2 linked regions of the Macaca fascicularis genome follow. The main gene of each other region encodes a partner of the protein of the gene in region 2 in a complex. Links are inferred from orthologs where the notes say so. Each region holds a gene or a part of one and is shown on either strand. Other genes may lie near its edges.

What was found. Proteins that work in one complex are often made in the same cells at the same time.
Region 1: NLRP5 (region 2) and KHDC3L share a complex: the UniProt entries of both Homo sapiens proteins name them as parts of the subcortical maternal complex. The link is inferred for Macaca fascicularis from reciprocal best matches to the Homo sapiens genes NLRP5 and KHDC3L.

Annotation. Positions count from the first base shown.
Region 1 is NC_088378.1:101,687,040-101,690,809, forward strand, and holds KHDC3L (KH domain-containing protein 3), read right to left. Parts: upstream 1,948-3,770; 5' UTR 1,876-1,947; coding exon 1,707-1,875; intron 1,521-1,706; coding exon 1,341-1,520; intron 1,066-1,340; coding exon 794-1,065; 3' UTR 628-793; downstream 1-627. UniProt on the Homo sapiens protein: Component of the subcortical maternal complex (SCMC), a multiprotein complex that plays a key role in early embryonic development.
Region 2 is NC_088393.1:63,954,669-63,959,248, reverse strand, and holds the start of NLRP5 (NACHT, LRR and PYD domains-containing protein 5), read right to left. Parts: upstream 3,148-4,580; 5' UTR 3,115-3,147; intron 1-3,114. UniProt on the Homo sapiens protein: Component of the subcortical maternal complex (SCMC), a multiprotein complex that plays a key role in early embryonic development.

The DNA of each region.
Region 1 (3,770 bases), on a different chromosome or scaffold from region 2:
TTCCCCGAGGTAATTTTCCCCAGCGGGGAAAGTGTTCTGTGGCAGCGTCGCCATACACGCAGGGCCTTCCAAATCCAGCTGGCCCCCAAGCGACCCGGTTTTCTCATCCCAAGTCACCTTGAGTAGAACCACAGCGGGCTTGGAGAGGTTTCCTAGTGGGCCAGAGAAGCTTCTCACCTGTTAAAGCCAGATGCGCGCGGTTAAGGAGTACAAGTGGCACAGCGGACCACAGCCAGGGAAGATTGCGACCCCGGGCGGCTGGGAGCCAGAAGCCCCACCTGTCTCGAGGTAAAGAGCGGCGCAGGGCAGAACTGGGCTGTTGGAGGAATACGCCTTTCCCTCCCCTCTACCTTCCAAAATACAGACGTCAGGGAAATGCAATTGTTTATCAGAACTCAAGTTTGTGTTGACAACCACTCAACAGAAGGTGTAAAACAAAAACAATCCACGTCAACCTCCCCCGCCACCCCGGCTTCCTGGTCTAAAGTAGCGGGGGGCTTCCACTTTGCAATTATTTATTAGAACTCAGGTTTGTGTTTGCAGCCATTCAACAGAAGGGGTAAAAAAAACCAATCCACATCATCCACCCTTACCCCGGCTTCAGGGGCTGAAGTAGGGGGCGGCTTCTAGTTTGCAATTTTTTATTAGAACTCAAGTTTGTGTTTGCAACCATTCAACAGAAGGGGTAAAACAAAAAATCCACATCATCCTCCTCCCAACCGCAGCTTCTGGGCGAAGTACGGGCTTTCACTTTAACCCCTGACTGGCTCTGGCTCCAGGGCCCGAGATGCCTTCATAATCTGGTAACTGGGGCCCGGGTATCCTCGCGAAACCGCTGGGTCACTGCCTTGCTGGCAGCTTCGGGGGATCGCTGGGTCCCGGACTGGTTGGCAGCCTCGAGAGACTGCTGGGTCCCGGTCTCCCGCACCTCCACCGGAGAACCCTGTGTCCCGACCTCCCGGACCTCCACCGAACGCTGGGTCCCGGCCTCCCGGACTTCTGCTGAAGACAGCTGGATCTCGGCCTTCTTAGTGGCGACATCCTGGGCGAGGGCCTTTCCTGAGCCTGAAAGAAGAGCAGTGTGCGGAGGCCACAGCTGTGTCCCTATATCCTCTCCAAAAAAGGACAGTCACCCAAGCGGCCTGCGGGAGTAGGAACCAGGAATCCCAGAACGCGGGTTCACTTTGGCCTTCTGGATCCATGGCAACCGCCCCGTCTCCCACCCACTAACCGGGGGCAGACTGGGAGGGCGAGACTGCAGCCCCAGCAGCCAGGAAACCCCAGGATCACTCCTACGGAGCCAGGGTTTGCTCCAGGTAGCCCCATTCCCAGCCCCGTACCTTTCGCCTGGAGCTGTCGGTGATAGTCAGCCAAGTTCATGATCATCTTGATTGTGTCCTCCTGGTAAGAAGGCCTCCCAAATACCAAGATCTCAGCCTCGCCGTTAGGGTCCAACCGATTCACATGAATCAAGATTTGGGACATACCCTGGACGTGCGGGATGCGTTCTCGGTCCCTGCCTGCGCGGGTAGTAGAGAGGCTGTGAGGGTTGGGTGGCTCCCGGGGGTCTTGGGAGGGGAAAGTGGAAGGAGGAGACAGCCAGAGGGCATTGGCTACTGGGGAGGCTTGCCCTGGAACGCAGTGGGATGTGGGTGTGGGCGGCAGAAAGAAGCCGCATAGGGGCTGCCCCTCCTTGCTCCACTCACCGAAGATCTTTTCCACCAGCCAAACCTCCAGGCGAACTACCTTCGGATTCTTCAGGAACTCAGAGTGGAACCAGGAGAACCGCTTAGGAAGGTGACCAAGCACCTCGACTGGCATTGCTTTTGGCTGCATCAGTTGCACGAGCGTCGGAAACCGCCTGGGAGTGTCCATGCTGCGCCCGGTCCTGCAGGAGACAAGACCACCACAGCAAACCCAAAGGCCAAGCTGGAGCTAGGCGACTAGAACTGCGGTTTCGCCTGGGCCTTATTTAAAGTGCTTTTGGCCAGCCCCTCCTCTCCAACCGCGCCCTTCTCATTGGGTCCCAGGCCTCGCCTCCGCCTCCAGGAGCCCCGGCTTTTTCCGAGGCAGCGCAAGTGCACCGGTTCCTGCGTTGCTCTCAGTGTCTCTTCTGTCAGGAGCAGCCCTTTCCCCAGCGCACCCGGTAGGAGGAACCGGGCTCTGGGCACCAGGAATCCGCTGGTGCCCAGCGGGAGTCTTAACCATGGACTCAGGAAGGCGTGGACAAGCCCAGTATCTCTCCCAGAGGAAGGAACTGATACTTGCAGAATGAATACTTCATACGTCCCTCACTCGCTTCTGATCCCTGGCCACTACGTTTTCTCCCTCTGGCACCAGGTTTTCAGATTATTCTGTCACTTGCCTGAGACAGCTGAGTACAGAGCAGAATAAGCGCCCGCCTTTTTGTTTTGTTTTGTTTTGCTATAGGGTCTGTGTAGTGAGATTTGCATAGTAAAAAAAAGGGGGGGATAGAAAAAAAGTTATGGGGTCTGGCTATGTTGCCCAGGTTGGCTTTGAACTCCAGGGCTGAAAAAAATCCTCCCTCTTTAGCCTCCCCAGTGGTGGGACTATAAAGCGCTTTTAATTAATGCAGCAATGAACACACCTAACCACAGATGGTTCTCGTGGTTTGGACACCAGAGGAGATTCCTTGAAAATTTTTGACATCTCTGTTCTTTTTTATTTTTAATTTTTTAAATTGGAGACAGGATCTCTGTCACCCAGGCTAGAGGGCAGTGGTGTGATTATAGCTCACTGCAGCCTCCAACTCCTGGGCTCAAGAGATCCTCCCTCTTCAGCTGCCCCAGTAGCAGGGACTACAAGCCTCTGACACCATGCCCAGTGATGCCTCTGTTCTCTAAATAACACAATTATATTTGTCTCATCCTTCCTTTCCTTTCTCCTTTCCCTTTTCCTTTCCTTTCTTTTCCCCTTCTCTTTCTGACAAGGGTTCATTATGTTGCCCAAGCTGGTCTCAAGCAATCCTTCTGGCCTGGGCAAAATGATAAAACCCTATCGCTACAAAAAAAATACAAAAATTAGCTGGGCGAAGTTGCACACCCCTGTAGTCCCAGCTACTGGGAAGGCTGAGGTGGGACAATCACCTGATCCCAGAGAGGCTGAGGCTACAGTAAGCAGTGATGGTGCCTCTGCACTCCCCGCGGGGTGACAGAGTAAGACCCTGTCTCAAAAAATAATAATAACTGAGCCAGGTGCGGCGGCTCACGCCTGTAATCCTAGCACCTTGGGAGGCTGAGGCGGGTGGATCATGAGGTCAGGAGATCGAGACCATCCTGGCTAACACGGTGAAACTCCACCTCTACTAAAACAAAACAAAAAAAAAAAGTGTGAAAATAATAACTTTTAACTGTGTTGCTATAAGATAAATAATAATTTATAATTTATTTTTATTCAGTATTGAAACACTAAAGAGAACTTCAGGTTTGCCACATTAATAGACCAAATGTATATATTCAGGCCGCGCCCAGCCGGCCGAATATATTTAATATATAGGAATGATTTAGTAGTTGGGAAATTCTTACTTGCTAATTGAGACAATTAAAGTACTTTGCAAAACAACAAGAAAAAACAACCCCATTAAAAACTGGGCAAAGCCGGATGCGGTGGCTCACGCCAGCAGTTCTAGAGCAGCCTGGCCAACATGGCGAAATCCTTTCTCTACTAAAAATACAAAAATTAGCCAGGCGTGCTGACTGGCGCCTGTAATCCCAGCTACTCCGAAAGCTGAGGCATGAGAATCGCTTGAA
Region 2 (4,580 bases):
CGTTTGACATGTGAGGCTGACAATGTCCACAATGCATGACTGGACCCTGCTTTGTGATGGGTGAAGGAAAACGTGCTCCTACATTAGTGGAAGTGTAAATGCATGCCATCCTTTTGGACGGTACTTTGGCAATCTTTACCCATTTTAATTGTAAATATTAGACCCAGCCTTGTGTAAAGCAGCAAGACCGAAGACCATTTAGGAGTCGGTTAATAACAGGTGGATTAATTTAAGCACCAACGTACCCTGCGTCCTTAAAAATGCACAAGGATCAGCACAGAAAGGTGCCCCACCTGTAAGGCTCTCAACACCACACACACGCGCACAACGCCTTTGGGTGAGGAGCAGAAAATAGGGAGGAGACACTAAGAGGGGCAGGGAAGGACACACTTCACACCACATCTTCTCGTATTGCTGCTTTCAAATTAATACTGAAAAAGGCTGGGCGCGGTGGCTCATGCCTGACATCCCAGAACTTTGGGAGCCTGAAGTGGGTGGATCACCTGGGTCAGGAGTTCGAGACCAGCGCTGCCAACATGGTGAAACCTAGTCTCTACTAAAAATACAAAAATTAGCCAGGCTTGGTTGTGGGCACCTGCAATCCCAGCTACTCAGGAGGCTGAGGCAGGAGAATCGCTTGAATCCGGGAGGTGAAGGTTGCAGTGAGCCGAGATTGTGCAACTGTACTCCAGCCTGGGTGACAGACGGAGACTCCATCTTAAAACACACACACACACACACACACACAAAAAAACCCAAATCACCAAATTAATACTAAAAAGTACCTCCCATTAAAAAATCATTTTAGTAGAAGCTAAGTAGACATAAAGGAATTTCACCAAAACAATAGAGGTATTCTTACCAGTACCCATTCATGGAAGGCCAAAAACCTAGGTACACGTGAACACTGATAGAACATTGAAGTTTATGTGCTGTGTTGCTCCAAATAGAACCATAGCAAGAAAATAAGCTTTTCTACACATTCCTATAAATATTTAGGGACCATGTTGGTCATTGGTAAACGGAAAAATACTTATTTCTGAGCACCTGTTTAAAAGCTAACATCCTAACCACAGAACAATTAACATTTTCTAGGTTTTCCTACCCCTTCTAAGTTAACAAAAAGCACCTGGATACATGGAAATTGAAAGCAAAACACACAAGACAAAGACTCTCAATGCAGGCAATGAAATTAAGAGGGGAAGGTTATTTAAGAGAGAATGAATTTCGGACTGTCATATGTCAACACTTCTATATATACATAATTTGAATTAAACATTTGCCTTACCACACTGCACAATCCTTTGAAGGGGCTGGAGGACCAAGAAGTGAACCAGGGCTGTCAAAACCAACAAAAACCTCAGGGGCGGGTAAGGAAATGAGTGTGGTCTGGGGACGGTGATTTTATTTTTAGGGTGAGGTGATTGAGCAAGTTCATACGTTCAGAGCTGAGAATAAAGGTAGAAGCAGCAAGATGACAAAGACTCTTGTCTATATCCTGCCTTAGGTGACTCAAAGCATTTCATTTCAACTTTATGTAGCAGATACAGTTTTTCTTCTTGACATGGAGTCTTGCTCTGTCGCCCAGGCTGAAGTGCAGTGGCGTGATCTCAGCTCACTGCAACCTCCACCTCCCAGGTTCAAGCAATTCTCCTGCCTCAGCCTCCCGAGCAGCTGGGATTACAGGTGTCCACCACACTCAGCTAATTTTTTTTTTTTTTCAGTAGAGGCGGAGTTTCACCATGTTGGCCAGGCAGGTCTCGAACTCCTGACCTCAGGTAATCTGCCCGCCTCTACCTCCCACAGTGCTGGGTTACAGGCGTGAGCCACCACGCCCGGCCTTACATGGCGTATTAATATACAAAGGGCATCGCCGTCCTCACTCCAGAGTTCGAAGCTGAGGTTCTGTGATGTTGACTGGGTTGCTCTGTTTTAGGGGAAGGTGCATTAATGCATACGGGATGATAACGCCCTGTATTTCCCTTGAACTGATTAATCAAGCCCCAGAGAAAGATGACTGGATGGTGTAGGGATTAATTTGGGATAGGCATGGTCACTTTCTCCTGAGTGAAGTCAGGTGGGTGAGGAGTTGGGGAGAAGTTTTTCAAGTCCAGGCAGGATTACAGCCGGAAGGAGGTAAAGGAAAGCTGCTGGTTGAGGTTATTTTCTGAGGATGAGTGACTTCCCTAAGCTCGCACTTTGTCGCTATGCTTTTTCTACAGACCGACCTCTCCCACCACACCTTTCTACGCAGGTGTCCTGAATGATAAGAAGCAGTTAAGATTACAGGGCTGGAAGTCTCAGACCCAGTTTTGAATATTGATTTGCCGCTTTCTGCCCCAGGCAAGACATTTAATTTCTCTGGGGCTCAGCTTCCTCCCTTGGTAAACAGGACAAACAACACTGTCAGAATTATACGGCATTTCAGTAACTAAGTTACAGTTAACATATTATTAGCACAATTAGCACCGTAACACCCCCCACCCCAGACTCCTACTAAATGCACACATTTGCTAACCCTGACATTCAAGTCGCAGTACCCCCACTCTGTATTCTATTTATTTTTGAGATGGAGTCTCACTCTGTCACCCAGTCTAGAGTGCAGTGGCGTGACCCTGGCTCACTGCAACCTCTGCCTCCTGGGTTCAAGCAATTCTCCTTCCTCAGCCTCCCTAGAAGGTGGGATTATAGGCGCCTGCCACCACGCCCGGCTCATTTTTGTATTTTTATTAGAGACAAGGATTTCACCATGTTGGCCAGGTTGGTCTTGAACTCCTGACCTCAGATGATCCACCTGCCTCGGCCTCCTGAAGTGCTGGGTTTACAGGTATGAGCCACTGTGCCCAGCCCTCTGTACTGTATTTTAGACCAAATGTCTGGAAAGGACGAGAGACTTACCTAAATATCCCAAGTAAATATGAGGTTTTAGGAGAAGATCTTTACAGCAAAATGGGGTAACTGGACTTTGTTCTTTCGAGGAACCCTTTGGTCCCGGGCTTTGAGCAGCCAAAAGGGAGAGGGTGGGGGCGCCTAGTAAGCTCAATATGCAAGTTCTAATCAGCAGTGGAGAACAAAAGCGGGAAGGACAAGGAGCAAGACAAGAGGAATACTCACCAACTTCACACCTCGCCTCCAAGAGCAGGTCCTGCGCTGGGCCAACTGGCAATCACAGAAAAAAGGCGGCCACGCCCAGCTCCGTGCCCACGAGGCGATAATCCTTGGGGAGCGCTGAGCCCGTGATGTTGCTGCTGCCTATTGGCAGCAACCGGCTCTGAACGACCAGCCCCAGGGAACAGGCACTTTTCTGCACCTGTGTGCACCATTTACAGGTGCTGCTGCTGCCAAGAGGCTGCCTTGCCCCCACACACCTGCGCTCAGGGTGCCCGGATGCTAACAGCCTTCAGCTGGCTGTCCCGGAGCAATTAGTGTATGTGTGTGTGTGTGTGTGTGAGAGAGAGAGAGACAGAGAGAGTGCATGTGTGTGGGAGAGAGTGTGTGAGAAAGAATGTGCAAGACAGAGACTGTGTGTATGAGAGAGAGACAGAGAGAGTGCATGTGTGTGAGAGAGTGTGTGTGAGAACGTGCAAAACAGAGACAGTGTGTGAGAGAGACAGAGAGTGCATGTGTGTGAGAGTGTGTGTGTGAAAGAATGTGCAACACAGAGACAGTGTGTGTGAGAGACAGAGAGAGTGCGTGTGTGAGAGTGTGTGTGTGAGAAAGAATGTGCAAGACAGAGACAGTGTGTGTGTGAGAGACAGAGAGAATGCATGTGTGTGTGTGAGAGTGTTCAAGACAGAGACAGTGTGTGAGAGAGAATGTGTGTGAGACAGTGTGTGTGCATGTGAGAGTGTGTGTGAGACAGAGTGTGAGAGACTGTGTGTGAGTGTGAGTGTGAGAGAGACAGTGTGTGAGAGAGGATGTGTGTGAGACAGTGTGTGTGCATGTGAGAGTGTGTGTGAGACAGAGTGTGAGAGACTGTGTGTGAGTGTGAGAGTGTGTGAGAGAGACAGTGTGTGAGAGAGGATGTGTGTGAGACAGTGTGTGTGAGAGACTGTGTGTGAGAGTGTGTGAGACTGTGTGTGTGAGAGAGTATGTGTGAGAGTGTGTTTGTGAGAGAGACAGAGTGTGTGTATGAGTGTGTGAGAGAGACAGTGTGTGTGTATGTGTGTGTGTGTGTGTGTTGGGTGCCCTTATTTTACACAATCCGGAAGTTGCACTTGGCTTTTTTGTGTGTGTGTATATTGACAAATTATAATTGTATATTCTCGTGGGGTCCAGTGTGATCTATGTACACAATGTCAAATGGTTAAATCAAGCTAACAAACACACATCTGTTGCCTTGAATACTTATTTTTTTTTGTGGTGAGAACACTTGAAATGTACTCCCTTAGCAATCTTGAAACAGAAGTTTATACTTTTGATAAAGTCCAATGTATTTAGTTTTAGTTTGTTTTGATGTGGACTCTTGCTCTGTGACCCAGGCTGGAGTGCTCAGTGCAAACTCCACCTCCCGGGTTCAAAGGATTCTCCTGCCTCAGCCTCCTGAATAGCTGGAACTACAGGTGTGCACCACCACGCCC